4 linked regions of the Rhinolophus ferrumequinum genome follow. The protein of the gene in region 3 interacts with the protein of the main gene of each other region in a pairwise test. Links are inferred from orthologs where the notes say so. Each region holds a gene or a part of one and is shown on either strand. Other genes may lie near its edges.

Region 1 (8,119 bases), on a different chromosome or scaffold from region 3:
CAAATATTGATTTCATTATATAGTATCACTACACATCATGTATCCTCTGGAAAAGCACTGTATATTTGTGAGCAAATGAGAATGAAAAAGGCAAATAACATTTTCGTATAATTATAAAATAGTTCTTATCCCGTGGACCCCCCCTAAAAGGGTCTCAGGGACCTCCAGGGGTCCACAGGGCACATGTTGAGAACTGCTGGCATAGTACAGGTAGAATGGAGATGATAAGGAATTATTAAACATACACACACACTCCGAAAGAGGGCAGGAGAAGAGGGGGGAAAAAGAGCAAAGGACAAATGGTACAGATAGAAAAACAAATAGCAAATGATAGATTTAAGTATACGAATTGATAATTTCACTATGTATAAATGGTCTAAATGCTCCGAGTAGAAGGCAAAGATTGTCAGACTGCATAAAAATGCAAGTTGCTACTACTATATGCAATTCTACAAGGAACAGTCTCTATTTTCTTCTGTGGGGCCCACTTCTTTACTCCACCCTAACCCACTTTTTTTTTTTTTTTGAAATATTTGAATTTGGTTAGAACAGCTCTGAAAAGTCTGGGATGAGACCATGAGAATCTGATTAGAGTGATGATGGTGATAATGGAGAAGAAACTAAAAGTCAATTAGAAGGAACATGGTCAAGCCTTAGCTAACCAATAAGATATGGAGGAAGAAAGACAGGAAACCAAATATCCCTAGAGAGGATCCTATGATTTGGAAAATGAACAACCTTAATTGATTTCTTGAAATTTTCCTCTATCCTGATTTGCCTTGGTAAGTAACCCAATGTAAGTTGGTGAAGAAACACACTTTAAATATAGAGACAGAAAGGTTAAAGTGAAAAGACAGAAGACTACGATGGGTTAATTTCATGTGTCAACTCGACTGGCCTAGGCGTGCCCAGATTAAACATTATTTCTGGAGGTGTCTGTGAGGGTGTTTCCAGTGAGGTTAGCATTTCAGTCAGTAGACGGCCCTCCCCAGTGTGAGTGTCGCCCTCGGACTGGGATATGCACCATCAGTTCCCTTGGTTCTTAGGCTTTTGGATTTAGATGGAATCACAACACTGGCCTTCCTGGGTCTCCAGCTTGCAGATGGCAGATCGCTCCTCAGCCTCCATAATCATGTAAGCCAATTCTTGACAATCTCATAATAAATCCATCTCTCTCTCTTTCCATCTATATCTATATATCTCCGACTGGTTCTGTTTCTTTGGAGAACCCAAAAACAAAAAAATACAATACTAACACTTATCAAAAGAAAGCTGGGGCAGCCACATTAATACCAGTGTACTGATAGCTAATATTTTAGAATGCTTGTTGCTTCTCTCCCATATTTATTCTATCTCACCACCCTATGATAGCATTACTGATGAAGTAACTTGGGCACAGAGTAAGTAAGTAATTTGCCCAAGGCTGCACAGCTAATAGTAAAGATATGAGCGTGGGAATTGGACTACATAGTCCAAACCCATAACCACTAGGCTTGCTACTTCCCTAAAAATACATAGAAAAAAAAAAGTCCATAATCCCACTTCCCAGGTACATTAGTTTTTAAAGTTGTGAACTAGATATAACAAAAATGCGTAATGCCCATATGTGCATTGTATAAAAACAATTATCAAGCTGTACACCATCGCCTGAGTCAAGAGGGAACATACTCCCCCGTTCTCCCCACCCCGTGGGATTCACCCCGATCATACTCTTCTCCCTCTCACTGCGAGGGACCCACTGTCTTGACTTTTGTGATAATCATGTCCATGTTTTTCTTTACAGATTTGCCATCTACTTACGTTTTCCTAACAAATATTTTATTTTTAGCAAATTTCTATTATGCAACACAGTGTTATCAACTATAGTCACCATGTTATACATTAGATTCTCAGGTCTTGTTCCTCTTATAGCTGAAAGTTTGTACCCTGTTATCAACCTCCCCTTCTTCTCCCCACCCCCTAGTCCTGGAAATCGCTTTTCTATGATTTCTTTGAGTTTGACTTCTTTTTTTTAAAGATTCCACATACTGTAGAAAATGCAGTATTTGTCTCTCTCTGTCTGGCTTATTTATTTCACTTAGCATGATGCCCTCCAGGTTCATCCCTGTTGGCACAAACGATAGGATTTCCTTCCTTTTTAAACTGAATAATACTCCATTTTGGCTATTGTGAATGCTGCTGCAGTGAACATGGGGGTACAGCTATCTCTTTGAGACAAAGGTTTTGTTTCCTTGGGACATATACCCAGAGTGGGATTGCTGGATCATATTGTAGCTCTATTTGTAATTTCTCGAGCCTCCATACTGCTTTCCACAGTGGCTGTAGCCATTTACATTCCTATCCAGTGCACAAGGGTTCCCTTATCTCCACGTCTCTCCAGCATTTATCTCGTCTTTTTGATAAGAGCACAAATGGAATGTTAGGTCTTTCTGTGCATGGCTGGACACTCACTATATGTATCCTTTTGGATCTTTTCCTCATTGTGATTCTTTCCTGTTGTAAAGGAATTTCATTGGTTTTCACGGGTATTTGTACTGCATCGAAGAGTATGCTACAATTTACTGACCCAGTCTACAGTTGATGGGCGTTTGGGTTATTTCCAGTCTGGGGTTATTACAGTGTTGCTATGAACCCTCTTTGAAGCGTATCTGGGTGCACTCATTCTCAATATATCGGGTGAATACCTAGAAGTGGAACTGCTGGGTAAAGGATATGGCTATTTTCAACTTTAGTAACTATTTTAAACTATTTTCCAAACAGGTTGTACCAATTTAGTCCCAACCTCAGTGTATAAGAGTTCCTATTGCTTCGTATCAGATGCTCCGTAATTAACCATGAAAAGGTAATAACGTAGGTGAATGGTTAGATGATAACTGTACAAAAACATATAAATGAGAAGTAAAGGCCTTACCCCTAGTCCTTTTTCCAAAGGTGTCAACAGGTTCTTCCGTATCTTTCCATAAATATTAGGTATTATTTTAATAATATATTTGTTTTTAAAACAACTTGTGTATATTTCTAGTCCAAAAAGTGTGCAAATTAAATATAATGAATTAAATATCTGCTGTTGTTAAATACATTGCTGTTGGTAAACCACTACTAATTCAATCATTCGTAAAATATTTATTGAGCATCTATTATGAGCTATGCACTCTTCTAGGAGTTTGGGATACAACAATAGTCAAAAATGCCTGCTTGCATGGAACATACATCCTAGTTGGTGGAGACACAATAGATAGATGAGTAAAATATATGTTGAACGGTATTAAGTGCTAATTAAGAGAAAAACAAACCAGGGAGGGGGCTAGGGAGTGTTGGAGAATTTTAGATAGGGTGAGTGGAGAACTGAGGATGTGAAAGGGTGGGCCACGTGGGTCCCTAGGGCCAAGTGGTCTCAGCATATTAAAGGCCCATCAGGGAGGTCAGAGCGGCGAGAGTTCAGTGACCGAGAGGGAGAGCAGTAGGTGAAGCCGGACACATGGAGGTAGGTGTGGGCAGATTCTTGAATGCCACAGCTGGAGAAGTGACCACATTCTAGACTTACGTTGAATGTAGAGGTGGCAACATTTGCTGATGGGTTCGATGAGGGGTGTGAGAGAAAGGGGGGGGTTGTCAAGGATGACTCTAGGTTAGCTTAAGCCATTGGAAGGAAGGGATTGTGACTGAAGTGGGAAGACTGCAGGAGGAACAAATTCTGGGGGACTATGAGGATGGTGGAGAGCGTTGGATGCCTATGACACAGCCTGAGTGAGCTGCGGCCTAGGCAAAAGCACATATGAGCCTGAAATTTAGAGAGGTCTGCGCTGCAGATTATGTGGCAATTATTGACTAGATGGGACTTAAAGTCATGAGAGAGGATGAGACCTCCAGTCCAAGCACTGCTCGGGTCTCCTCTAAGTCAAGTTCTGAGGAGGAGGAGGTGAGGCAGAACAGCACAGCAGGCTGAGCAGAGTGGCTAGAAAAACAGGAGTGGGTGATGTCTTGGAAGGCAGAGTCAACGTTTTGAGAGAGATAACGTCTGCTGTTGAGAAGACAGGTAAAACGACTTCTGACACGAATTATTGGGTTTAGCAATTTGGAAGGAATTAGTGACCTTGATAATTGGGCAGCAGAGATAAAAACAGAAAGGAATGGGTTGGAAAGAGAACGGGACGAGGGAAGAGGAGAGAGGGTGGACGTATAAACAGCTCTGAGAAGTTTTGCTGAAAGAGAGGGATAGAAATGGCCCAGTAGCTTGAGGAGAAAGTAGAAAAAACTAAAAGGGGAAGGTGAGAGACTGTAAGGGGAGAGATTGTGTAAAACCATCAGCACTATAGCAAAAATAACTCATGGTATTTTTGCTAAGGGACTGGGCCCCCCCACTGAGATCCTGTTCGAAAACAACTGGCAATCATATACAAGTGGTTAACCCGGGAGCACCCTTTTCTCTTTACAGAAGCCAGGACACAGTAACATTTGGACTGTTATGGTCCTGGGCTCCCTCTGCCGTGTTTGCAGCGTGGGCCGTGTCAACAGACCCCGGTTCCCTGCTTCTCTCCAGCCCATCTAGGCTGGTGCTGCTGCAAAGGCACTTGCTGCAAAGGCCTAACAGTTCCTAGCTTCCCGTTTTGTGCATTCACGTGCCGCCCTGCACAACTCTACACAGCAGCTCCGCCACGAACGCTCGTTTACAGGAAACCGCCTCCAATTTCCTCTCGGGGCTGACTGTAGAAGGCGAAACCCTGACGCTCACTCTCGCAGGCCTTTCTGACACGCAACGGCCACGGGGCCTCCGCATCCGGCCTCTCCCGCCCGGTGGGCGCACGGTGAGACCACGAGCTGGCAGGCGCCGCGGGTGGGCACGCCACGCACAAACCACACCGCGCGGGGCGAGGCTGACCCACGCGGCCGTCCCGCCGGCACCGCCCAACCGCCGCCGAACCTTCTAGAAGCGGCGCCCCACGGCCAGAGCCCGACGCCCAAGGAGCCCGCGGACGCCAGGGGCCGGGACGTAGGAGGGGTGGGGAGTGCAAGACGACCGCATCCGATTCGCTGCCGGCCCGGAGGCCCCGCCACGCCAGCGCCATGGCCCCGCCTCCTCCCTCCCCCTCCATGGCGCCGCCCGGGCTCATTCATTCCGCGCCCGGCCCGCCAGACACCTGCGCTCTCCTTCAGCTGCCCGCCGCCGCTGCCGCCAGCATGTCGGGCCCCACCACCGAGACTCCGTCCGCCATCCAGATCTGCCGGTAAGAGGGGCGCGCAGCGCGAAGGACGGCCGGAAGGCCAGGTCACGGCCCGGCCTGCCCCTCCGCGCTCTCCCCGCCTCCGCCCCGGGCCAGGCCCATCATCTTCGGCCAGCCGTCCGTCTCCCGACCCCGCCCGCCCGCGGCCGGGTGCGCCCCGGGTGCCGCAGACACAGCGGCCTCCTCGTGCGCGTCCTCGCCGGCCTCCCGCGCATCCCCCGGGCGGCGCCGCGGTCACGCAGGCCGTTTGCGCACTGATTCGGCGCGACGCCCTTTCCTGGCGGGGGTCGGAGTGCGGCCCCCCTGCGCCCCGCCCAGCTCCGCCCCACCGGTGCCCAAGCACGCTGGAACCCCAGCCCAGGTCCCACTGAGTCCCCTAATTCAGGGTCGTTTTCTGGGTAGTGGTGCAAAGCCAACCGGATCCCCCGAGATGTGGGGCGCAAGTAACCAGCTCGCTGGTCGGCGTCCGGAGCCCGGCGAACCCATCGGTGGGTGCCCGAGTGGGCGGGGGCTGCAGATGTACAGTCCCTTTTAGTGCACCGCTTAGGTTTTTTTAGGGGAAACCAGGATTAACCCAAAGAAAAAAAAATATCCTTCCTCTCTAACAGTTTACTGCTAAGAGGGAATGGTCCATTGAGCCTGGAAGCATCTTACACAATGGGGGCAATTGTTTGTTCTCAGCAGACCACCCCTGCCTTTCTCCACGGGTACCAGGTAGATGGAGGCCCCCAGAGGAAGCGGGAGATCGGGAACTGGCTCATTTCCGACCAGAGGATGGAGGGCAGCCTCAAGGTTACTCTTCATTCCCTTGGGCAGAATCTGAAGCAGGCTCGCTGGTATTTGAGCTTGAGCTAAGTAAGGGCAAGGCTGCGAAGGCCGCACAGGCACTGGGGGCCTGCAACAGGGCCTGTCCTGCGTGGTGCACCGCTAAGAGTGACAGCTGCTTCCTGTTTTGGGGCAGGTTCCACAAATTTGGGCATTGGGTATCACGCTAACCTTGGGTCCAAGCCAGGTTAGTTTCCTGTGGATGTTAACATCTCTCTGGAAGAGTAAGTGCTGGATCGGTGGGGTGCCCTGACCGCACCCCCTCTTCTGGCCTAGTCCAGGGCCTTTACTGACTTCAAGGTCAGTTTTTACTTTTCTAGGGAGAGGGAATCTTCGGGGGAGCTTTGCTCCATTCCCTTTGTTCTTGGCTGTCTTGTCCACCCCCCACTCCAAGTTCCTGGGGCAAAAATAATAGAAGTGACTGCTATTTGGAGAGAGCGGGGCCTGGAATCAGGTCCTTGGTTCAGGCTCTGCCTCTTATTGGCTGGGTGACCTTATTGGCTGGGTGATCCTTTGCAAAGGGCTTGTATCTGTCTCATCGCGCTTGTTTTGTCCAACTTCCTGGGAGGAGGCAAGGATCTCCACCACTCCCCATATGTGGAGGAGGAAATTGAATTTCCGCAGACCCAGTGCCTCTGAAAGGTCATCCAGCCACAAGAGCCTGAGGAGCAGCTGCTGCCAGGTCTTCTGTCTCCAGACCCGTGCTCTTTCCACTGCACTCCCAAAAAAGAAGATACTGATTTCAGTCTATTTGTGGACAGCTGGGCTTTTATTTACTTCATCAGGCTGATGAAAACCTAGGCTACACATATTATCTTGTTAAAAACCAGCGTCTCACCTGAAACTTACATAATGTTATTAACCAATGTTACCCCAATAAATCTAATTAAAAAATAAGTATCTGAAAGCCCCAGCTTCTAACAATTAATAGATTTTTGGATAGCTTTAGACACTTCCATATGTGCACAAGCCTACATGTGTGGGCTTTTCTTGCTCACTGTGCTTTCCGGACTGCCTCTTGCATATTCACAATTGCATATTGTCTCGGCTGCCTTGGCTGTGGGATGCTTGGGCAGCATACCTGGCTGAGGTGAGCCTGCCAAAGTGGGGAGGGCTTGGTCACAAAGGCTTGGTCCAGTGAAAGCCCAGGACACAGGAAAGAGTGGACACACCAGTGTGGGGAGCCCTTTAAGGATATCTGAGCCGACACCCTGTGTTGAAAGAGGAGCCTCCTGGCCTAGGACAGCGGAACCCATGAATTTAACAAGTTTCACTGGACGCTTCCAAGGAGGAAAGTGCTCTGAGGGAGGGACACCGACCTGGAAAATTTGGTCCTTACCTTACGGGGTTTCACAGTTCAGCAGGGGGAAGATGCCCAAACCCCCACCATCCTGCACAGTTAAGAGTGCTCACGTGCTTTGGGTTCCGAAGGAGATGTTGAAGGGCTTGGGGCTCTAAAGGCTGGGGAGGGCAGTGGTTAGAGCCAGCTTTGTAGTCCCACGCCTGGGTGTGAATTCAGCCTCTGCCACTTGGCTGCCTAACTCTTCTGTGCCCCCATTTTCTCATGGGTTGTTCCGAGTGTTACAGAAAAGAAAATGCATTTAGTGCTTGCCAGAATGACTGGCGCATTGTAAGCAAATGGAGGCTCTTTTTGTCTGAAAAGTGGGACGCAAACTCAGGACGCTGACACCCTGGGTTTGAATCCCAGCTCTGCCTCTTGCCGGTGTGTAGTTTTAGGCATGTTCCTTATAGTGTCACTGGGTCTCAGTTTTCTTACCTGTGAATCGGAGATAACAAGAGTGCCTGTCTCAGGGGTGCTGTGAGGATTAAAACCTTTGGCACCGTGCTCTGCCTTTATAAATGTTGCGTTCACCAAGAGAACCCTTTGTCTCTGAGAACCGGAATTTTGACGGCTGGGCCACTGGAGGGCGCTGTCCCCTCCTTTTGATCCATCCCTACGGATGCAGGTTCTTGGGACAGTGTTTAAAGTCTTAGAAAAGAATTTTTCCTTTGGTTTATTTTGAGTAATATTAATTAACGTCTAGTCCTTGTTGGACTCAGAATTCTGATAA
Region 2 (7,693 bases), on a different chromosome or scaffold from region 3:
CCAGCCTCACTCAGCTCTCACTCCAAGTCCTGCAGAGCCTGCCTTCAGCCTGCCCCGGCTGTCCCCATAGCCACTCGTGACTCCAGCCAGGACTCAGGAAGAGAGGGGCAGCACATCGTTTATGGGGGTGCTGGGGATGCGAGTAACAACACACTGGGGCTTGGTGCAGGTTGCCTGCGTGTGTGCACGGACAGGAGCGTGGGGTCTCGCAGGCCTGGTGCCGGCGTCGGTGGAACCCCGCGGCTATGGGCCTGTCAGCAGGCATGGGGGTGCACAGCTTTTCCCTTTTCTTGCCTTATTGCATGGCCAGGACAGGCAGCATGATGCTGACCTGCTGGCCGGCCGTGGTGGGAGTGGGTCTGCTGCCTGGTTGCTGACCTTGGGGGGCAGGGGTTCTTGTATATGTCACCTGTCAAGTTGAGGAAGCTCCCCTCTTCTAGTTTCTTGAGAATTTATATCATGGATGGATGTTGAATTTTGTCAAAAGCCTTTTCTACAATTGATGTGATTAGGTGATATTTCTTCTTTAGCTTGGGGGATTACACGGTGGATTATATGGATTGATTCTGGAATATTGAACCAGTCTTGCATCTTGGAGTAAACTCCACGTGGTCCTGGTGTATCATCCTATTTCTATGTTGCTGAGTAGGATTTTTGCATTTATATTCATGAGGGATTGTGGACTGTATTTTTCTTTCTCTGTACTGTTTTTGGTTTTGATATCAGCATGTAATACTGGCCTCAAAATGAATTGGGATGCGATCCCTCTACTTCCATTTTCTTCAAGAGATTGTATAGAGTTGGTGTGGATTCTTCCTTAAGAGTTCAGTAGAATTCCAGTGAAGCCACTGGATTCGGACATGAGCTTTTGGAATCGCAGACATTGGGGCCAACCCTTGCCAAGGCCCCACGACTTCAGGGTCAGCGAGGCCCACTTGGCAGAGACACCAGAGCCCGGCTGCTCTGGAGGGGCTGGCAAGCGGCTGTACAAAGGCCTTCAGCAGGATTTTGCTTTCCTCCCTCTTGCTTGTGGCCAACAGCGGACATTGCTCACCTGGGGCTCGGGCTGGGTCTTCACCCCTGCTCCCAGGTCCCACCTGCAAGCACTTTGCCTCCAAGCAGGGGTGTCCCTGGGGGCAGGGCTGAGTGGGAGGGGAGTGGTGTGTGCAGGCACTGAGCTGGCTGTGAGCAGCTGTCTGTATCCAGACAGCGCTCCGAACCCCAGTCTCCTGGGGGTTGCCCCAGCGTCAGGTTCTCCAGGAGGTGGCGTGCCCAGGAAATTGGGCATGCTGATCAACCATTCTGGTTCAGAATGTCTACTTAGGACGTAGTTGTTCTTTCCTTGGTGATCCACATGATTGTGGGGTGCCTGATGCCCTGGATTTGAAAACAAATTCTTATTGCCTCTTGGAAGTTTTGGTGGCAATTTCGTGCTTCCAGAACTCCAGCCTGGCAGGGTTGCTTATACCCCACCCCCGTGTCCCCAGCCGCCCCGGCTTCCCCTCTGCCTCACGTGGGCCTCTGGGCCCCTCCGCAGGACTTGGGTCTTGCGTCCCCGCTGCCTGGACCACGTGTCTCCCACATGTCCGAGAGCTGTGTGCACTCCCTCACTGCCAGGTCTCTACTCAGCTGTCACCTTCCTGGTGCCATTTTCCTTGACCTCCATGCTCCCACAACCATTTTAAGTTACAAAACCTGAATAAACCTACTCTCTGTCTCTCCTACCTAGTTTTTCTCAGTATCGTAGCCTTCTAATGTCATCTTGCCGTGGGCAGGTATCTTAGTCTATTCGGGCTGCTATAGCAGCGCACCACAGACTGGGAGGCTTATAAGCAACAGACATTTCCTCCTCTCAGTTCTGGAGGCTGGAAGTCCAGCATCAACGCGCCAGCAGATGCCATGTATGGTGAGGGCCACTCCTCGCTGTGTCCTGCCATGGCAGAAGGGGCCTCGCCTTACCCGGGCACTAATCCCACTCATGAGGGCCCCACCCCGACACCGTCACATGGGGGCTAGGGCTCAGCATGTGACTGTGGGGACAGAACACGCAGTGTGTGGCAGCAGCATGTTGGTTCTGTTCCCCACAGCACGCTAGCACTTAGGGCGGCTGGCGTGAAGAGGGTGCAGAACAGGTGTTTGTGGGGTGCATACAGGTCCGTCTTTCTGACCAGGGGCTGCTGCTGAGCTGACTTGCCTGTGGGGGTGGGGTGCTGGGGTCTCTCAGTTCCCTCGGGGCTGACCCAGCTGCTGCCTCCAGGTTCACATGGCAGGTGGGCCCCTGGGTCACACCCTCCCACTCCACCAGCTGGACCTTGGTCTCAAAGGTGCTTGGGGTTGTACCGGGTACCATTCCTCTTGGAGCCCTGGTGCTGAACCACGGGGTGCCTTGGCAGATAGCCTGGGGAACAGAGGGTGTCCTGCAGGCTGGGCTCAGGGCTGAGACGGGCCTAGGAGGGAACCCGGGCTCAGGAGTAGGCAGACCTGGCATACTTCACACCCTCTCTGAGCCTCAGTTTCTCCATGTGGAAGGGAACATGAGTGACAGCCCGCTCTGTCTCTGCGTGTCATGTCCTCAGCCAGCATCTCTGTGCCTGTTCACCCTGCTGCCAGGCCATCTGTCTCCCCCTCTCCTGTCTCCAAAAGCAGCCCATTGAGTCACCAGAAGACGACAGTGGATGAAAGCGGCTGACGAGAGGGCCCTTGGTTCAGAGGACTGACCATGGAAAGAAAGGCACTAGAAAGTCAGCACACAAATCCTCTGGGACTCCAAAGACCCAGAACTGAGTTCATTCCATGAAATTGGCAACTTGGAAACTTTTTTTTTCTTTTTTTAACATTTCCATATCTGTAAAGTGGGACACTGATGCCAGCATCACAGAGATTAAACAAGGAGGCACAGGTGAGCTTGCCTAGCACAGAGGCCACTGTAGGGGGCGGGCGCCCACCCTGCTCTGCCTCCCCTGCATCCCTCCCGCTCTGGTCCAGGCCTGTGGGTGGCGGGGAAATGACCAAGAGCAAAAGCACAAAGGGACGCAGCCTTGGCTCTGGGACCTCAGAGATCCTTATCAGGCTGGGAAGGTGGGACACCCACACCCCAAGCAGGACATCCACACCCACTGGCCGTGCACAGTGGGCAAGGGAAGAAAGGGCTTCTAGAGCACACCTCACAGCCCTAGTACAGGGTGTCTGGAGCACCTGGCCTTCCCCAGAGACGCGGGTGAGACGGGCCTGTTCAGGCCCCTGGGACCAGCCCCACCTCCAGAGCCTACTGTGGGCCCTTGGGGGTGCTGCAGGAGTGTGGTTTTTTCCTTTGGATCATAAAATTGATCTGCAGTCTTGCCTTAGAGGGAACACAATCTCTCAAAGAGGTTTAAGGCGCCATTGTCCAGGACAGAGCTGTGTGACTCATTCACTGATTCCCTGGGCCTTTACTGAGCAGCTGCTTCTTGCTGGACGTCAGTGCAGTGGTGAGCAGACACCCCCACACCCCCTTCACCCCTCCCCCCCCCCCCCCCCCCCCGTCCTTGTGGAACTCGCATATGGGGGGACTGGACATTAATGAGAACGGGGGGGGGGGGGGCGCTGCTCTGGGGAGTGCGGGGCGCCATGGTATTGGGAGGGTGCTCAGTAGGTGACGAAGAGGGGTCCCTGAAGCTAAGGATGACTTAGGTCTGAAGTGAGGACAAGCGAGCGCTGCAGGCAGAGGCCCTGGGGGGACACAGGAGGCCAGGGTCAGGGAACCTAGGGTCCTTTGCTGCAGGTGGTGAAGAGGTGGGAATGGAGATGGCGCGCGGGGCCCCAGCCTCATCGTCAGATTTGCGTCCGTGGTTTGCGCAGAGAAATGGGGAGCAGCTGGGGGCACTGCACCAGCTAGTTTTCCTGCCTCCCGTGTGGGCGCTGCCAGGGAGCCTGGCGCCATGGCTCTCGGCGAGGAAAATCGGAAGCAGGGCCTGATGACCGGCGGACCCCTGGACGTGGGCTCTGTGTCTGCAACTTCGAGGCCGAGCTGCGGACTGAGAAGTTGCCCTGAGCCTCGGATCCGTCTTCTGAACAACCTTGTTAAATAGGGAACCCGGCAGGGTGGGTGTTAGTCCGTGCCCATCGCCCGCTGCCGCGTCTCCTCACCCCGGACTACATGGCACGGGGGGCTTCCAGTGTAGACCCTGGGTGGGTCTAGGGATCTGCGCCCCTGTGTAGCTGTCGGGCCCCGCCCACCGCCGGAGCCACGCCCAGCCGGAGCCACGCCCACCTCCCGCTTTCCACACGCGGAGCGCGGGCGCGCTTGCGTCACCGTCCAGCCGGCTGGATCTGGTTCCAGCCGCGCTGGGCTAAGCTGACATGCGCAGTTCGTGGGGGCTGAGGGGTACGGGCCTGGGCAGATTCGACAGCCGGGGACGCGGAGGTCGGTGCGCCGAGCCCCGGAGCGGGGCCCATGGGGCGGGCAGGTATCCGTCCTGCACGTGCGCGTGGGGGGCAGGGCTGTTCCCGGAGGGGCTGCGGGAGTCCCGGCGCGTGTGGGCGCCCTGCGTCGGCCTCCACCCTGGAGACCCCAGACTTGGGCCCGAGGGCGTCACCGTGAGGGCGTGGCGCCCCTCCCCCACTGGGTTGGGCTCCACCGTCGTCTTGGGGCCCCGGCCCGGCGCCCCGCATTATCCCTGTTTCCTGATTCCCGTTTACAGGCGAAAGAGGGGACTCTGAGCCGAGCTCCAAGCCTCGGAGCCCTGCATGGGGAGGAGGAGCCCTGCCGAGGGGATCTGGGGTGATCCCCCGACCTTGGGTGCCCGCAGACCCTCGGGCTGCTGCTCCAGGCCGGAGCTGTGTGCGCCCTGGGGTCCAGAGCCCTGGATTCTAGTCTCAGCTCCAGGCCGTGTGACCCCAGACAAGCTCCCTTGGCTCTCTGGCCCCATTTTCTAATCTATAAAACCCGGGAGTGGTCTCAACTACCATGTTTCCCCAAAAATAGAACCTAACTGAACGATCAGCTCTAATGTGTCTTTTTTGGAGCAAAAATTAATATAAGACTCCATCTTATTTTACTATAAGAGCTGGTCTTATATAATTAATGTAATACAATACAATACCGGGTCTTATACTAAGTTTTGTTCCAAAAGACACATTAGAGCTGATTGTCTGGCTAGGTCTTATTTTTGGGGAAACACCATAGTCTTTAACCTACCCCATCCCCCCAGGCCAACCTTGTGGTCTGTTTGTGACCAATGTTCAGGGCCTTTGGATAGCCCAAAGCCGCCATACCTTTGCAAGGCCCACCCCCATATTGCACATTAAACATCACTGTTTTGAAGCAAAAACCCTCACCAGTATTTACTATTTTGCTTCTGAAATTATTGGGCTGTGAGTAACGCATTATTTAGCAATGTGATTGTTTTTAAAAATGCATTGTTTATGCTCAGGAATTCTTGCAAAGTGAGAAAAACCTAACCCATAAATAGTTTCCAAATGTGATGAAATGATTTTGAAAATTCCATTCAATAATTAATGAAGTTGATACAGTGATAAACATTTGTTTTGATTTGCTGTTTATCTTGAAGCCAATAACATGTTTTGCTTTGATTTTTTTCCCCCATAGCTTAAAGCTTTTGCAGGTCCTGAACAGCCGAAGGGCAACAGGACGGCTCCTTAATGGGGTGAAGGTGGGATAGGAAGGGGTCCTGAGATGAGATTTTAGTTGCAATGTTATTTGCTTTGCACCCAAAGAAATGGCAGTTTCTCTTCTAACAACAAGGAGCACGAACGCTACTGAGGAGGTGTTGCAGTCCAGAGACTGCTAGATTGAAATGGGATGAAAACATTTGAAAATCTTGAGCACAATTATTTTTTCCTTAAGGGAAGTGGTGTTGGTCAGAAGCTGTAGGAAAGCTCGCCTTCTGCGCCTGCTCCTGGAATCCCAGGCCGGCCTCTACTGAGCTGGGGAGATAGGTGTCTTGGTGCCTTGGGGATGTGTTTCAAATGTCCTTCACATGACAAGGTCAGCACTGCCAAGTTAGCAACGACTCAGCTAATTTTTGGAAGTTTTGAGTACGTTTTATGTGTGTTGAATGTGATTCCTAGACTTGTTTACAGCTCTTGTACTTAGTATCCAGTCGGCCGTCAGCCTACCAGCACGGCATTTCCAGATTAAAACCCACTGCAGCCATCGCGTCCTAGTCAGCCACATGTTTCCACAGATGAAATAAAGGCAGATTTGAAGTCTAATAGTTAGGAAGGAGATGGGCATGGCTGGGACCTGCAGAGCAGAGCGGCCTTCTGCTGACACGGAAGCACGGCTGTGGATGTGAACCTCACCTTCCAGAAAGGCCGTCGCTTACGCCCCACATTAGGCTGTCGACCATGCAAAACACAGCAGGGCTCCAGGCCTGCCTGGGCCCACTAGTAGTGGAAGAAACGGGAGCACTGTAAGTCATCAGGCAGCATCCTTATGCCCAAAGTCAAAGGGGGGCCCACCGGCCATACACAAGGATAAACAGCTCATGCAAAGGGGACCTCACCAGGGGCCTGTTTGCTGTCCCCGAGATGTGGGCAAAATGAGGCCAAAGGCTTAGCTGAGGTTCTGGGAGGCAGTGGGGCTGGTGGCCGGCGTGATGGGCAGGGCTGCCCTTGGAGGTCGGGGAAGCCGACCTTGGAGGCAGGAGACTCCGCTCGGCTCCCTGCTCCGCCAAGCAGTTCGCCATCCCCCTTCTGGTGGCAGTGCCGTGGTCTCTGCAGCTGTGAGGTGTTGCAGTGTCCTAGGGATGTGTCCTGTGCCTGGGCTGTGGAAGGCCCCAAGGAGGCAGCGACGGCGGACCCGAGCAGCCTGCCCCAGGAGTCAGCATGCCCTCCAAGGCCTTACAGACTGGCTGTGAAGGAGCAGGTCCTGCTGAAATCCCAAAGGAAAGCCGCTTTTGCACAACCCCACCCCCACCCCCGTGAGAAGAATCACTGGCCCCTTGGCTCCTTGGAACAGGGTCTCTGGAAATGGGTCACGCGGCCCTCCTGTCAGCATCGTTCTTCGAGGACTGGAAGTGTTCCTGATGAAATGCGCTGTATTTTCCCTGCCTACCACTGTGTTCTGTGATCTCTAAGACCTCAGCAGCCCTGAAGAACACTCGCAGCCTGCGGGCACACAGGTCACATCTGAGCCACCGACGTCCTGTGGGTTGCTTCTCACCTCTCCCCCACAAACTCCACTGCCAACGTCGCCCCTTTTCCCACAGGCTCAGGCAGAGCCTCAGTCACAGCTTGGCTCGGCGTGCTCCTGTGTTGCCCCGCCGTCCCCACCTGGAGCTCTTCACGTGTGTCTCAGGGACCAGGCTCACGTTTTACCCTGGACCTCCATCTGGGGGGTGCTCTGGCAGAGGAGCCGCTGGGATTGACCGGATTCCACCTTGGACCAAAACTGTTCTGGGGACCTCCACCCGTTAGTGACACTGACTCATCCTTCTGGGTTAGTGCCCACCCCGTGTACCTGCTTGTTAGAATTCCTCCCAGCAGAGAAGGGGCTGGCTGCTGATTGGTTGTCTCTGGCTTACAAGATAAAGGGAGGCAATGTAGGTGGCATTTGTGTTGATGTTGGCCCTTTAGCTCTGTCCATCAGCCTCGGGTCCCTGTGGGCCGAGTCAAAAGGCCCAAAAGCTGTGCTCCTTCCCTGGGGGCCAGCTTTCCCCAGCGACCACTGAGGTCAGCCCATCGGGTGCTC
Region 3 (7,662 bases):
CCCCTTCCAGCATGGTATTTTTTGATTGTTTGATTGACTGATTCATTTATTTTAGGGCGAAGCTCACAGTGGCTCATGAGGGCATCCAATCGACAAGCCTGGTGTTACTAGCACCACACTCCAACCAACTGGACTAACTGGCCATTCCACTGTTGTTTTTTTTAAAAAGCAGTAGTTTTTATAGAAATCTTTCTGATCACACAGTACTTTTTAAAATGTCAGATATAATGATGTATACAATCTAAACAAGACAGGCTGATTAAGAATTTACATAATGTAAAAATACATATTAAAAGTTAGCCATGCAGTGGGAAAAGTAGGTGATGAAAGGTTGGGGGTGGAGGGCCCATACACAGTATATTGTTTTTCCCCCTTCATTAGAGTAAAAAAACTTTCAATAACAAATGCAGGTATCATGTTTCCCTGAAAACAAGACCTAACCAGAAAATAAGCCCTTGCATGATTTTTCAAGATGACATACCCTGGACATAAGCCCTAATGCGTCTTTCGGAGCACAACTTAATATAAGACCCAGTCTTATTTTCAGGGAAACACGGTATTCCACACACTTCTAAATACACATGGGTAAATCGTGTAATTCTCTTATCTATCTCATTTATTATTGTTTAAATTTTTACATTGAAGACACTAAAAGTTTCAAATAAAATGTATACTATAGGGTGAATCTGTATTTTTTTTACCAGTAATTTTCTGTGTACTGTAAAACAAAATTGCCTGTTTATTATCTAAATACTGAGAATAGGAAGCTTCTAGTTCTCTTAGAATCAGTCTGACAAAAAGGAATAATCAAATTATATACTTAAATCATTAAAGAATTTAAAAACTCATTTTGATTTACCTCTTTATCTACTGGAATATGTCCAGTAGGCCAGATAAAGGGACGTAGGAAGAGTTTAAATTTATTGTGATTTTATTTTTCCAGGTCAAGGATTTAATAAGCTGGGGGGGACTGGAAAGAAGCCAAAGAAGGATGTTTCCAATTTATGTTCCAGTTTTTCCCATGTAAGGTATGCTAGAACCTTACTCTGTTATTATCATGAAGATCTAACCAATCTTTACGAAAGTCCCTTTTCTTTGCCTGGCATAGCTCTTCCCACTGCCACCATGTAGAAACTGGGGAAAGAAGTACTCCTAGAAGATTCTGGCTAGAAACGGCCTCTACCAGTGCAAAGTATGGTAGCAATCATTGGTAAAATTTAGCATATAGGGCCTTCTGACTCAAGCACTACAAGTGCTCAGGTTGTTTGTGAGGTTTTATCAAAATCTTTCCTATCTACTCCTCAAAAACTGTTCTTTTAGCTAAGGGATGAAATGCACAGGGTTAGCCCTTCTTTTGGTTGAATGAATTGTTTAACAGCCAGCAGAAACTCAGTAATTCTGATGAGTGAATGTCATCTTTTAGTTTGCAGTGTCAATGAAGGATTTTCCATATTTTCAGATTCCCTTTGAAACATCATGAGAAACAGGGAGGCGGGGAGCTGAACCCGTGTGATTGTGTTACAACCTCCTGACCTATTCCTACACTTTCAAAGTCCTGGAAAGGTCAATTCATCAGCTTTCAGAAATTCCAGTAATTCAAGAGGTAATATTAGGATATAATGAACTGAATCCTAGAAGTGGTAAATGTTCTAGCTCCTTCTCAGAAGAGAGGAAAAAATCAACACTCAACATCTATGCTCTAGGCACTCTTATTTCTGTATGGTCCCTCTTGTATTATATCAAGAATGTAAAAAATGCATCCACATCTGCTTTTAAACATAAATGACTTCCACCAAATAAAAACCTGATATTTAAAATTGTGCTATTGTAACTATTTAGCTATGAGTAATTCATGTAATTCACCACTGGTTCTAATTTCTTAGCTGTCATCATTTACAGCAGAAAATTCTTGCAAAAATTTGACGTAAACATAATAAAACTTGTAAATACTGTAGAATTTGGTTGAATGAAAATGCTATCGTGTCACCTCGCACATTTTGCAGGTATTTATCATTAAGTCATTTCCATTTTGCGGTTTTCTTTTCAAGAAAACATTTTCCCTCTAGGACTCTAATTGCCAGCACCTTCAGCATAAAACAGTCCTGAAGGCTGTGGGGTAGGTTCTATTCTACGGGCTTCCTCTGTGCACCCACAATAGCTCACATTGACCTTTATCATAGCACTTTATCATGGTCCGTATTATTATTGTCCATGTTATCATCACAGTGTGCTGAAAACATATACTCTTCATCTTAGCAGCACTAGAAACGGTCTCTAAAACGTAAGAGATCCTTAATGGTTGATTCCTAGAAACTGGGTCAAAAACATCCTCCCTGAAATCCTGGCCAAAAATCAATCCATAGTGATGCTGGGCCTAACATCCACAGCAAGGATGAAAAGAATGACTTCTTTTTAAAGGTCTCTGTTTCTATTTCAAATTTATTTCTAAAGAGTTATTACCACCTGGCTTCTCTATGACCTGGTAGTGAAATCCAGATGCCTCGCGGTCTGGAGACCTCACAACCCGCAGGGACTCGCTTGGAATTGCTCGCGGGTCCGAAACTCGCCAACCCCAGGCAGCGAGCAAACCTCGCACCGGAGTGGATCCTCAAACTCGAGAAACGATCACTACGGCTACGCGCGCCGAGATCGCGCAGCCCGGGGCTACCCGGCGCGGGCTTAGATCACAAGCGGGCACGCCCACCGCTTCCCCGCCTGGAATAGCACCGGAGGAACGCCCGGCCGCGCCCCGCCCCTGCCTCCGCCCCTCTCGTTAGGTCTCGCGCGGACACGCGCCTGGCTCCGCCCCCGAACCTGAACGGACGCGCGCCCCCAGCCCGAGCTGGGGCCAGTCCCGCGAGGCGCGAAGGGTACTTACTTGTGGAAAGAAACGGGCTTATCCTTATCGTATCGGTTCTTGCAGCCGTAGGCGGAGCAGGACTGCACCATCCTTTCGGTCCTCCGTCGCTTCACTTCTGCCGCCGCAGCTGGCAGGTGAAGCTGCTATCAGTGTCGCTGCGGTCGGCTTTGACACCCTCACTTCTTCTGTAGCTTTGGCCAACAGTTAGGTGAAGATAGCTTCACTCGGAAGTGACTAATGTGCCCGTTTTGTTATTTCCAGTAGCAAGAGGACCACAGCCATCTCCCCACTCCCATCTCCAAGATGGCGAAGGCAGCTTCAACCTCACTTCTCGCGAGGAGTTCGTCCTACCGTCTGTGATTAGCCCTGAGGTCAGAGGTAACGTTCCCTGAGAAGCAGACGATTGGCTGAGACCCGGCGTGTTGCCCGGCGGGCTCAGCGTTGCGGAAGTGGGCGGGAGAAGAAAGCTTCCGGAAGGAAGAAAGAAACAGCCTGGGAGTAGAGGCGAGGGGACCGGAACGTGAACCCGGATCGGGCTCCGCGGCCATCCTTTTCTTGAGTTAATTTATCTGGGGGTTTAGCGTGGAGAACAATACGGTCTGTTGGGTCTGCTGGCCTAAAGGAGGACAGGTGTAAAGCTGAGGTCGTTGGGTAATTGCGCCCATTTTTTTAAAAGGGCAGCCACTGATTGTATATGATTTGTAAAAATGTTGATGGAAACAACACAAAGGTCCATTACTGAACTGATTGTATATGATTTGTAAAAATATTGATGGAAACAACACAAAGGTCCATTACTGAATGAATAAATTGTATCGTCATATAGTAGACTACTATACAGCAATCAAAGAAGCTATGACTAATACAATATAGGTGGTTCTTACATGAATAAGTCAAATAAAATATACGATCCTTTTAGGTAAAACTAAAGTGAGAAGAGGTTACTTTGGGGGAGAGGCAATGAAGGGGGCTTATGGGATGGTGGTAATGTGTCTTGACTGAAGTGATGGTTAAACTAATTACCACTTTATAATTATCTGACCCTTATTTATTTGTAAAACGGTGTTTTTTGTACTTTAATAAAACAGCTTACTAAGCAAATGAGCCGCACAAAATATGCAGGACTGCCTTTTATTAGAGAATGAGCGATGTTTGTGTTCATTTGTTCTCTTCATTTGCCCATTTAAGTGAAAGACAATAGGGATAAACTGAAGAAGGTTAATTGGAAGTTTGATGTTTTTCAAAGTCTTGAAAGGCCAAGAGATAATTATTTACTAATATAACACTTTTTAAGGAAAAAAGATGTCACCCTTGATATTAAAAAAGTTTTGTTACAATTATTCTAGAAAGGTAAACTTTGTCTTGTTTAATAAACTGAGGAAAAATAAGACCCTTGTTTTGACATAGGAGAGGGCTAAAGATGTTTTTGAACACACTAATATCTAAGTTTAGGTTTTAATTTCTACCCAACTATGCTTTCTTTTTCTATAAACAATTTTTATTTAAAAAGATACTCTAGCATTCATTCTCTATGGGTCTCATTATCTTCATCTGTGGAGTAAGGCTGTAGCATGAAATGAGGAATTCTTAATTTTGAATCCATGAATGGTCAGTTCTTGAATCCCCTGAAAATAAATTGAAATTATACATACATGTGTATGTATGCATTCTTCTGGGGAGCTATCCATAGCTTTCACCTGATTTTCAGAGAAAATACAAAAACTAGCCAATTTGTAAGGACCCTTACAACGTTAATATTCTAGGATTAGTGAAACAAGATTTTCATGTAGCTAGAAATTCCAGGTTTTCTCTAGCACCGATTAGAAGGGTGAATGTTTTGATCTGAATATCAGGTATTTTTAAGTAGTTTTTAACTTTGTGTTTTAAAACATTGAAATCTAAACTATTACGTATCAAGTGAGTTTAAAACATCGTTAGCCCTTAACCCTCTCTTATGTCACATACTACTTTCCCATCAAAAGGCCTACAGCCAAATAGCACTACTCTTAAAAAGTAAGTAAGTATTCAAACATGCTCAGTGTTTTCTGACAATGTTTACTCCTCTCATGCACCAATCTGGGACATGGGATGAGTCAGAGGATGCAATTAGATAAAGATGACAGTGACTGATAACACCTCAAATTTGCTTGCAGTCTTGGACTTAGTGCTTAAATATTGATGCCATAAAAATGAGCTGGTTCTGATAGAACACAAAATTTCAATGATTGTCTTTATCTCTGTGATTGTCAACAGCCCTTAAAGCCTACTGGCCTGGTCCTGGGAGACAAGTCTTAGGGTCTTCAAACTTTGAGTGAGTGCCCTTTCCTATTCTGACTCAGTCGCAGGTTTATGGATTGCTGTTTGGCAAAATGGAAGAGCCTGAAGTACATTTCGTTTCAGAGAGAAGGGAGAGAGGCAAACATAAGAGACACAGTCTCAGGAAAGTACATTTCCTTTATCAAATACACACAAAAGGAATAGGTGTGGGGAATCAGGGTGCAGGCCTAATCTCTTAATTCCAATTCCACCCTTGTCCAGAATTAATATAGATTGCCCAGATCAAATTCTCCTCAAAAGCATTTCTACTTTTTAAATTTAAAAATACCTAAGCAAAATTAATTAGAAATGTGACAAAATACTTCATGTCCATTAATGAAAAAGAAAGCCATTGCAACCATTATATTGAATACTATTTCAGGAGTTCGGAATTTGAAAGCAAACAATATTAAAGAAACAGGAAGATAACAAGTACTTTTTAATTTTAGCTATATTGCTTTTATTCAAAAGAATAACTTCTTGACAAACTCTTAAATCACAAAGTTTGAACAAACTGTCAATCTTCTGCAACAACTCTGTGAGGTAGGTATCTGCACAGCCACAGGGACCAACAGTACTTTCTTCCCTTGTTGCTTTCAAAGGCTGAGAATTGTAGTAGCTGAAACCACTCTCCTAGTGGGCAGTTAGAACAATTGTTTCTTCCTCTTGTTCCCCACAGATCTGCCCAAGTTACCATCTGTTCCTGGGGTTGGACCATCTGTTTTTGTGAAGGTTACAATATTGTTTACAAAAATCCAAATTGTTGCTTTGATTTATATGATCTCAGTTTGAATCATAGAAGTATTATTATGTTTAAAACACTGATTGACTCTACTTGCTTTAAATACTCAGATACTTTCTACATTTATTATCAGGGATCAATAAAGATGGCATAGTAAGCAGGTCTAAAATTCTGAGATGTCAGCATGTTCCGTTTTCAGGTTGATAAGACCTCAGATCATACAGTGTTTCCGTATGTTACAAAAGTTGGTACAATACAACTCTACCAGGCAAGTTTTAAAAGGAATTGCAAATATTACAATAAATCATTATAACTAGAAATGTGACACTTGAAGCAGAACACATGCACAGAAAATGAAATCCTTTCAAAAATGACATTGCTACATAGCCCCACATAAAATTTATAATTGGTAGGAAATGCATTTCTAGTCTGGGATAACAAACTCCTCCTACTATTAGCTTTTCAAGTTGGTAACTGCAGCTGAAATGCTTTTCTATGAAGTATGCTACCTTATTAGATGTTTGATTTGGAAGTAGAAAATTAGGGTTTATGAAGTCTTGATATGTCATCTTTCTAGACCTTTCCTCGTAGGAGCACCCAAGCTATCCTACTCCAGTGTGTTCCAAAAGACTTCCAAAGCCCCAGTTTCGCTCCTGCTTTCCCCTCTTTGTAATAACCTTCACATCTATCTGAACCCATGCACGAGTCCTACTAAGAGTCTAATATCAGTTCTGTCACTTATTTGTGTGTGGCTAGACAAAAACCTTAACATCTATAACAGGGATTTCTTCTATGAAAAAGAAGACAGGGCCGACCAGGTGGCTCAGGTGGTTGGAGCACCATACTCCTAACTCCGAGGTTGCAGGTTCAATTCCCACATGGGCCAGTGAGCTGTGCCCTCTACAGCTAAGACTGAACAACTCTCCCTGGAGCTGGGGTGCCATGAGCTGCTGTGAGCGGCGGACTGAAGAATGGCAACCGAAGACTGGTGACCGACTGCCTGGGAGGGGAGCGCAAAGCTCATAATACCAGCATGGATTAGGGAGCTGTGTCCTACACAACTAGACTGGGAAACAACAGCTTGAACAGGAGTTGGGGCGCGGAGAGGCGGAAGAAAGGGAAAAAAGACAATACTTTGCCTTCTTCACATAACTGTCTTAAGAATAAAATGAAAAGTATGCAAGAAATTGCTTTAATTATAATGTGCTATATTTAAGTATTGTTTTCTATGACAAGCAACAGCTTTGTCCTAGGCCCAAATTAGAAAACACTATTGATATTTTATTCAGCAACTCATTAGTTGATGGCTAAACTGATTAATTTGAGACTGTGACAGATGTTCTTTTTCTCCCTATCTATATATAGTGAGGCTCATTAATACATGAATGGACAGTATGATTATCAGTGATTGCAGGTGACAGAGCTAACACCCCTGGGCATCAACGACAACCCTGCTGTCCAGTTTGCTAATTAGCAGTGCCCCCTGAGAGAGTTAGGATTCATAATACTTGTGGTTTTGATTCTTCTCAAACAGAAAACTGCAGAAGAGCGCAAGACACTTACGCTGTAGTCATTAAAAAAGCAAGATAACTTTCCTGTTAAATCACCTCAGACAACATTTGCTCATTCTGCATAAGACCTGATGAACCTGGGCTATATGCTGTCACCTAAGAATAGTATTACAAAAGTTTTCTGATTAACCAAATTTGTTCTTTCTGTTTCTCTAGCCCAGCAGTAATTTCTC
Region 4 (8,455 bases), on a different chromosome or scaffold from region 3:
AACTTATTTGGAAATACAGTCTTTGCAGATGTTATCAGGTTAAGTTGAAGATTACTGGATTAGGCCCCACACACAGAGGGAAGACTGCCATGTGAAGATGGAGACAGAGATTGGAGTGATACCAAGGAATGCCGAGAACCACTAGAAGCTAGGAGGAGAACAGGATCCTTCTCTATAGCATTTGGAGGGAGCACGACCCTGCCGACACTTTGATTTTTGGATGTCTGGCCTCCAGAACTATGAGAGTAAATTTCTGCTGTTTAAATCCACCCGGTTTTTGCTGCTTTGTCACAATAGTCCTACCTAGGAAACTAACACACCACCTCATGGCCCCTCCCCTGACTTGTTCTCTTTGCCTGGAATGTTCATCCCAGAGATGGTTGGATGGCACATTTCCTCCTTTCTTTGAGGTACTTGCTCACATGAGCCCTTATCAGAGACATCACAAATAGCAGCAAGTCCCCACAGCCAGCATTTCCTTTCCCCCTATCCTGCTTTGTTATTCTTCAAAGCATTTCCACCACCTGACTGTTCATACAATGATCCACTAATTGTTTGTCTTCCTTCCCTGGAATGGAAGAATCCTGAGGGCAGGGACTTTTGTATATGATGTTCGTGGATACACCTTCATATATTTAGGACATGGTAGACACTCCCTAAGTATATCCTGACTGACTGACTGAATGTCAGTGCAGGCAATACCTGCCAAATACCTCCCCAAAGCAGAGGAGAGAGTACAAGAAAAAGAAGAGTATCCTGTAGAGTCAGATGCCTAGTTCCGTCACAGTTATTTCACACCAGCTACGCGACCCTGTTTAACCTCTCTGAGCTTCAGTTTCCTCATCTTTATAAGTCAGGACAATAGCACTTACATTAAAGTGTAATTTTGAGGATTAATTGAAAGATTTTGTCGTTAAATAATGGAGGTACAAATCTTTTTGTATAATTCACATATGTCTAACAATTAACATATATCCTACATGTGTGTAGGTATTGTTACGTGCATTCAATGTGGTAAGCACTCACATTCATATTAGAGTCATTATAATGTAGTGGTTAAGTGCATGGCTCTTCGAGTCATTCTGCCTGGTTACATACTTACCAGTTGTGCAGCCTTGAGCAAGCTACTTAACCGCTCTGCCTTAGTTTTCTCATCTGTAAAATGGAGATAAGAGTACTTCATAGGATTTCTGTGAGGATTATTGAGTTAACCCACATGGCTGTTTAGGATGGTGTCTGGCACCTCCTGAGTGCTCACTAGATGTTAACTACTACAGTCATGTATAACAAAGTTTCCGTCAACCACGCACTGCATATATGTGGACCCATACGACTATAACAAAGTTGAATTTTCTGTAGGAAATGGTAACGTGATTCAGGAGGATTTTTTTTTCCCTAATGGGATCAGATCTGTGGAGCTTGGCAATAGATCCCTCTGACTCACGGCACCTCAATTTTGAGTGCACAGATTATACCCCAGTCAGTCAGCCACTGATCTGTTTCAGCACAGAGAAACCTGTCCCCCCAGCACTGTATATTCAGAGGGCACTACAGCCCTCCAAGATGTAGCCTGATGGTCTTCAGATACATTGCTGTAAGTTCTTTGTTGAGGACCTAAGATGCTGGACAAAAACACATGTCCACAGGAACTGGTACTAATCTATGCATTTCAGGGGCAGTTCCTGGCAAACTGTCAGTTTAGTAAAAGCTTTCTGTGGTGGTGTGGAGCCAGCCTGTGCCTGTACTTTTTAAATATTTTCAGGTTGTAATGATGTAAAGCACAGATAAGTTTTATTTCTTCCATCAGTTCAATGCCAGAGAGAGCCCTTTGTGCCAGATGGGGTCAATGGAACCAAAAACAAATTTCCAAAGTCAAAATATTGAGTCCTCAGTTCTTCATCTTCTCCACGTTAAACACCTTAAAAAAAAAAAAAAAAGAATACCGCAAAGTTCCTTAATCTGACCACTGCTCCAACATGCAATAGCCCAAATCACATTGCCATGATAATTTCCTATGTTCCTCGATCTCTCCATCTTGATTTCTTATTCCTCCTGATCCTCAGGCCACCTTTCACTCCCTCCTGACAGTCACTGTTATGGTGATGTATGCCTGACCCAGCCAGTTTCTCCTTGATATTTCTAATTAATCCAGCCCACACCCGTTCATGGAGCAGCACTGACAGCTTTGATGTTCTATTTCTGACCCTGTCAGAAGGAAGCAGGGGAGGGCTGTGGGACAGTTTATAAAGTCTACAGCAATATACAGTTATGTTCTAGGCCTTCACATTCACTCAGCACTCACTTACTGACTCACCCACAGCAACTTCCAGTCCTGTAAGCTTCATTCATGGTAAGTGCCCTATACAGGTGGACCATTTAAAAAATCTTTTATCCTGTATTTTTACTGTATCTTTTCTATATTTAGGTATGTGTAGATACACAGATACCATTGTGTTATAATTGCCTACAGTATTCAGTACAGTAACATACTGTACAGGTTTATAACCTAGGAGCAATAGGCTATATACCATATAGTCTAGGTGAGTAGTAGGCTAGACCATCTAAGTTTGTGTAAGTACACGCTATGATATTAATATTTGCACAATGATGAAATTGCCTAACGATGCATTTCCTAGAATGTATCACCATCGTTAAACGACATGATGGTATTATTTTACCATCTAACTTAATCTTCTGTGCATTTCTGGGGCAGTTCCTGGCGCATGGGTGCTCCATAAATCCTAATTTCCTTTTCTGGCCCCTCTACGAAGTCAGCATGAGCTGCCCTTCTATTACATTTCCCCATGCCCCCCAACAAGTTGAAGCTTAAATAGTCTTGGCCTAGCTGCACCATCCAGAAGAGTGGCTGCCTACCCAGACGAGGCCAATGGCAGAGAGAAAGCAAAAGAGAGAGGGTGGATGCAAGAATACTCTACAAGTAGAATCCACGAAGATGTGTATTAGATGAAGAGGTATAAGGAAGAAGCAGGAACTACAAATGGTTTTGAAGCTTCTCAAGTGGGTAACTTCATGATGGGGGTGACGATTTCCAAACAGGGGACAGTGGAAAAGGGGCATATTGGATAGGGACTATGGAAGAAACTAAACTTTGTTTTGACATCTTAAATTGGAGATGCTGGTGGAGTAAGTAAGTGGAGATATCTTGCAGAAAGCTGAAAATACAAGTTGGATTTAAAGAAATGTGGGTGCTTTCAGTGCTGATGGGAGCAACTGACACCACGGGAGCTGATATGATTAGTGGAGAACATCACTTAAGCAGAAAAGCAGGCTGATGGCTGTGGACACCTTCTGAACATTTCCATCTTTCTGTCCTGTGGGAGTCACAAAATCAGCATGTCCAGAGTGGAATTAATCATCTTCCCAGCAAACCTATTTCTCTTCTTCTCTAGCTGTGCAAATGGCACTGACCAATCTCATATTCACTCTGGCTCAAAACCTCAATCATCTATGTCTCCTCTCTTAATTCTTTATGCAGTAGGTTTCCTCTATAGAAAATTCTGAAAATCCATAAAAACAACAGGTAGTTGTTTATAATGGAAATATTTTAGATGATTTTTAGTGTATCATTCTGGTCATATTCCTATGCAAATATAGATTTAATTTCCTTTATACATGAATAGAGTCATACTCTACACTTTTAGAGTAACAGTTTTATTGAAGTATAACAGTCATGCAGAAATGTACACAATCAGAAATTGATGACACTTTATGTCCTTAAATATTCTCCCACATCAATTTTTAAAAGGCCACAAGGTATTCTATCCCATAGCTGTACCATAATTTAGATGACTAATCACTGTTGCAAGATTTCTGGCTTTATTCTAGTATTTATTTATTTCTGGCTTTATTTCTCACCTCTCCCTCCACAATGTTGCAAAGATGGATTTACCCGTATTTAACATTTTTGTGCCCATTTCCAATTTTTCCTTAGAATAATATTCCTAGAGGCTGAATTTCTGGGTCAAAAGGCATGTGCATTAAAAAAAAAAGCTTTTAATTTTAGAATTGTTTTAGGTTTACAGAAAATTACAAAGACACTTCAAACAGTTCCTATATAGTTTCTCCATTAACATCTCGTGTCCCCATCCACACCTAGTTTCTCCATTAACATCTCACGTTAATATAGCACATTTGTCACAATTAAGGAACCAATATTGAGATATGATTAGTAACTAAAGTTCATACTTTATCCATATTTCCTTCCTTCTTTCTTTCCCTCCTTCCTTCTCTCTCTCTCTTTCTCTAATGTCCTTTTTGCTGTTCCAGTATCCCATTTAGGATACACCTTTACATTTAGTTGTCATGTTGCCGTAGGCTCCTTTTAGCTGTGACAGACCTTCCTTGTCTTTGATGACCTTGACAATTTTGAGGAATACTGGTCAGGCATTCTGTAGAACGTCCCTCCATTGAGGTCTGCCTGATTCTCTTCTTATGATTAGACTGGGGTTACGGGGTTTGGAAAGCCAAGAGATAAAAGACCACTCTCATCATATCTGGTCCACACACTGCCAACATGATTTATCACTGTTGATGTTAACCTTGATCACTTGGCAGAGGTAGTATGTGTCTCGTTTCTCTACTATAAAGTTACTCATATCCCCCCTCTTACTGTACTCGGTGAAAGGAAGTCACTATGCGCAGCCCACATTTACGAAGTTGGGAGTTAAGCGTCAGGGTGGGGTATCTACATAAGTTACTTGGAATTCTTCTGCTTTACAGAGTTAGCTCTTCTTCTCCTTTATTAATGTATTCATATCAGTATTCGTATCATTAACTTACAGCAGTATGAACTCATGGGTAGTTCACTTATACTTGGAGTTATAAACCAACAGCACTGTTTTGTTGATCAAGGCATGTGTATTTTTAATACTCTGAGTAACCCATTGAGTAAAGCTACCCCGCCAAAGGTTATACCAACTCTGATGGTTAAAATGCGGATCCATAACCCCTCCATGTCACACCCTTTATAAAAGTAGCTCAGCAAACAAGGGCGAGGCCTACGCCCCTCCCTAGCGCCCACTTTCCTGATGCCCCTCCCCAAAGAAGATGAAGCCAGCAATGGGGGGGGGGTTCTTCCCCGGACGGGCTCCTCACCCCCTGCCTTGCCGGGGCCACAACCGCAATCGCTTCTAGCGCATTGTCTGGTCTCCGGGTTTCCCCAAGGTCCCGCCCTCCATAGGGCGGAAGTTGGCCGGGCCGCGGACCGGAAGCGCTGGACCGGGGCGGGCTGTCTCGCGCAGGAAGCTCCTCCCACTCCGCACTGCCCCACCCCTCCGGCCTATACCGGAAATGAGGTCAGAGGGGGAACCCCGGCGGGGAGACTCGGCCAAAAAAGCGGAGGCCGGTGGAGGTACCTGCGGCAGCTGGTGAGGAGGAAATGTGGGTTGAGAGGGTCAGGGGCCAAGGGGCCGGCGCCAGTGGGGCTTCGCGCTCCTGGTCGCGGCTGAGTGGCCAGGGGCTTCCTGGGACCTCGGCGGCCGGCGGGAGGGGCGAGGATGGTGGGGCCTTGTTTTTCAGGGCCCATCTCCTCCGTCCCAGGGGATGAGAGTCGGGCCGTTTCCGGGGCGACAGTCACCTCTTCTTTTCTCTTTATGGCTCTTTTTGGGCCGAGGACAACGTGAGGGCTTGGTGTCCAGAGCCATGGTCGCCCTAGTCCTCGGGGGCGGGCCGCGGCGTTGGTGAGTCCTTCGAAACGCGCCTTTTTCTCACGTCTGTGGCCAGGTTGCAACCCTTGCACGGAGAGAGCTTCGTCGCCAGGACTTGCTTTTTCGCAGTTTCTATCCTAGAAGAGCTGACCCGACCCCCCGCCCCGCCCCTGGTGATCACGAATGAGAAGTTGACTCCGGCCTTTCCTTCCTCCTCCGACCCCAGCCCGGTCTCCCGCTCCGACCCTACGCCTGCGTCTCATTTCTACCAATTTCCCCTTCCTTGGCGCGACTCAGACAGCCTTTCCTCTCCATGAGTGCTTGCCTGTGCCCGGGGGTCCTCTTGGACTGTGCATCCGACACTAGTGGTGTGGGACCTGCAGGGTTCTTCTGTCACTTGCAGTCTTAGAGGCAGGAAAAGATTCTGCACGGGCATTCGACTCCCAGTTGTTTGGTAACTTAGTTACACGTTGAAGTTTGTACAGTTCTGCCTGAGTTTTTAAAGCAGTTCTTTATGAGGGAAGTCGATTTAGACATGCTGTTCCCACTTGTTTATCTACTTTGGTCTTAGGACAGTTGTCTCCCAAACCCCAATCATGGCGTTTTAAACTACTTATTGCTTAAAGGGAAGTGGTCATTTTATGTGTGGCTTTTGACACTTTGAGTTTTGTTTGGTTGGTAGTTTTGGAACTAGCTGTCCCCATTGCTCCCACCATTGTGGGAGATAAGCCAAGCCAGCTTTTTTCCTGCCTTTGAGTTCGTTGGCATAGGGACAGCATGAAAATAGCTTTTAGAAAGTTTTTCGCAAAATGTAAACTGCGTGAACGGAAATATGGTCTGAGAGTGGCGCCATGCAGTTTTAAGTTCTAATTATGGTCTAGAAATACTTGGGGCTTAACAAGGGCTAGGGAAAAGTGCTAATTTAATATGTATTTAATTAGGTGTTGTACAAATTATATTAGACATTTCCCTATAAAAGGGCATTTTGAAAATTGCTCATATACTTTCATCCCTTGGAATGTTTGCCTCTGAAGTGACCCTGACAAGAATGAATAGAAAAGTAGGAAATTTTGGAAAGCAGTTAGCTAGAAATCTTAGGGACTCCACACATCCCTGTAATTTCAATCTCAGTTATATCCTGTTTATGTGTGATTGTCTAGCACTAAAGCACATAATCAGGCTGATCACTTATTTTCCGAGGGATGGGGAAAAGAGTTTAAAAATTGCTAATTATTAAGAAATATATGCGGTACTCTATAAGGATTTTACCTGGTATCTTCCAGGTGGTAGTTGGGACCAGAATAGGTGTAAACTTAGTATCTTTTTTCCAGTCAGAGTACAAACCTGGGTCAGTACAAATTCTTGGATCACTAAAACTGCAAGCAGCCTTCCTTAAAGTGTGTCATTAGGTTGTCTTTCTGTTCCCTTCCCCAGCATTCTTACTAGTAACCCCCGGCCATAAAACAGTCCTTCATCCATGGTTTTGAAGTTGTGTGTTTTTCTGCTTCTGTCTGATGAGACTTTCTCTAGTCTTTCTGGATCTCATCGTCATGTAATTTAGTGACAAGTTTAATTAGGGAAAAAGGGGAAAGATTTATTTCCCCGAGTTTGCTTTGTTTTGCTGATATCCCAGTTGTCATTTGCTGAATTTTTGTTTTTTTTGTGCTTAAAAACATGTTGACTTCAGGAGTTGAACAAGGGCCAAACACCTATTTTCAGTGGCCAAAATGAGCATGGATGGTAGGAACAGATTCTAAGTGTAGCCAGATAAAATGTGAGTTTATTTTCTATAGTTTGGGCGGGCTCCGCAGTGCCGTGATCTATTTTAAAAAATTGCTCTAAAACAACAGGTCCTGTTCAGGCTCTCTTTTTCTCTTTTTGAACTTCCTGTTGGCAGATGTGGCCTCATGGATGAGCTGGTACACGACCTCACGTCAGCCTTGGAGCAGACGTCTGAACAGAAGAAGCTGGGTGAGCTCTGGGAGGATATGGCCTTGAGCCCTCGGCAGCAGAGGCGCCAGCTTCGCAAACGGAGAGGCCGGAAGCGCCGGTCAGACTTCACTCACCTGGCAGAGCACACCTGCTGCTACAGTGAGGCCTCTGAGTCCAGTCTGGAGGAGGCCATTAAGGACTGTCGAGAAGTGGCCCCGGTCACCAATTTTAGTGACTCCGATGACACAATGGTAGCCAAACGGCACCCAGCTCTCAACGCCGTTGTTAAGAGTAAGCAACATTCTTGGCATGAGTCCGACTCCTTTACGGAAAATGCTCCTTGTCGACCACTCAGGCGCCGGCGGAAGGTGAAGCGAGTGACATCAGAGGTGGCTGCCAGCCTTCAGCAGAAGCTCAAGGTGTCCGATTGGAGCTATGAGAGAGGGTGTCGGTTCAAGTCTGCGAAGAAGCAGCGTCTGTCACGCTGGAAGGAGAACACTCCCTGGACCTCATCTGGCCACGGATTGTGTGAATCAGCAGAAAATAGGACTTTCCTCAGCAAAACAGGAAGGAAAGAAAGGATGGCGTGTGAAGCAGATGAACAAAAACAGGGCTCTGATGAGAACATGTCAGAATGGTGAGATCTCCCTTCACTAAGTCAAAGATTTGCCTGGTTAATTTACCCAGAGTACAAATCCACAGTCTTGATGAGTTCACCTTGCTTTCAAACCTGCCACTGTGGTATTGACTGCACAGCCCTCCTTTAACCGGTCAGCCAGTATTTGTCTTTAGCTTTTTAAAGAACATTCATGATTCTGTAGAGGGCTATAATGGCATAGACACACATTAAAAATTGT

Evidence for each region. The genes of interacting proteins can lie anywhere in the genome.
Region 1: the proteins of THAP1 (region 3) and ACOT7 interact in binary tests that used the Homo sapiens proteins (3 or more experiments, as listed by UniProt). The two-hybrid records come from large-scale screens. The link is inferred for Rhinolophus ferrumequinum from reciprocal best matches to the Homo sapiens genes THAP1 and ACOT7.
Region 2: the proteins of THAP1 (region 3) and C24H7orf50 interact in binary tests that used the Homo sapiens proteins (3 or more experiments, as listed by UniProt). The two-hybrid records come from large-scale screens. The link is inferred for Rhinolophus ferrumequinum from reciprocal best matches to the Homo sapiens genes THAP1 and CHLSN.
Region 4: the proteins of THAP1 (region 3) and GPATCH2L interact in binary tests that used the Homo sapiens proteins (3 or more experiments, as listed by UniProt). The two-hybrid records come from large-scale screens. The link is inferred for Rhinolophus ferrumequinum from reciprocal best matches to the Homo sapiens genes THAP1 and GPATCH2L.

The regions. Positions count from the first base shown.
Region 1 is NC_046292.1:3,884,296-3,892,414, reverse strand, and holds the start of ACOT7 (cytosolic acyl coenzyme A thioester hydrolase), read left to right. Parts: upstream 1-4,734; 5' UTR 4,735-5,064; coding exon 5,065-5,225; intron 5,226-8,119. UniProt on the Homo sapiens protein: Catalyzes the hydrolysis of acyl-CoAs into free fatty acids and coenzyme A (CoASH), regulating their respective intracellular levels.
Region 2 is NC_046307.1:44,272,839-44,280,531, forward strand, and holds the start of C24H7orf50 (uncharacterized protein C7orf50 homolog), read left to right. Parts: upstream 1-4,308; 5' UTR 4,309-4,338; coding exon 4,339-4,402; intron 4,403-7,693. UniProt on the Homo sapiens protein: Hormone secreted from the intestine in response to cholesterol, where it acts to inhibit cholesterol synthesis in the liver and VLDL secretion,leading to a reduction in circulating cholesterol levels. Acts through binding to its receptor, GPR146.
Region 3 is NC_046287.1:57,931,657-57,939,318, reverse strand, and holds the start of THAP1 (THAP domain-containing protein 1), read right to left. Parts: upstream 3,500-7,662; 5' UTR 2,950-3,499; coding exon 2,879-2,949; intron 1-2,878. UniProt on the Homo sapiens protein: DNA-binding transcription regulator that regulates endothelial cell proliferation and G1/S cell-cycle progression.
Region 4 is NC_046289.1:22,707,311-22,715,765, reverse strand, and holds the start of GPATCH2L (G patch domain-containing protein 2-like), read left to right. Parts: upstream 1-5,070; 5' UTR 5,071-5,387; intron 5,388-7,563; 5' UTR 7,564-7,573; coding exon 7,574-8,235; intron 8,236-8,455.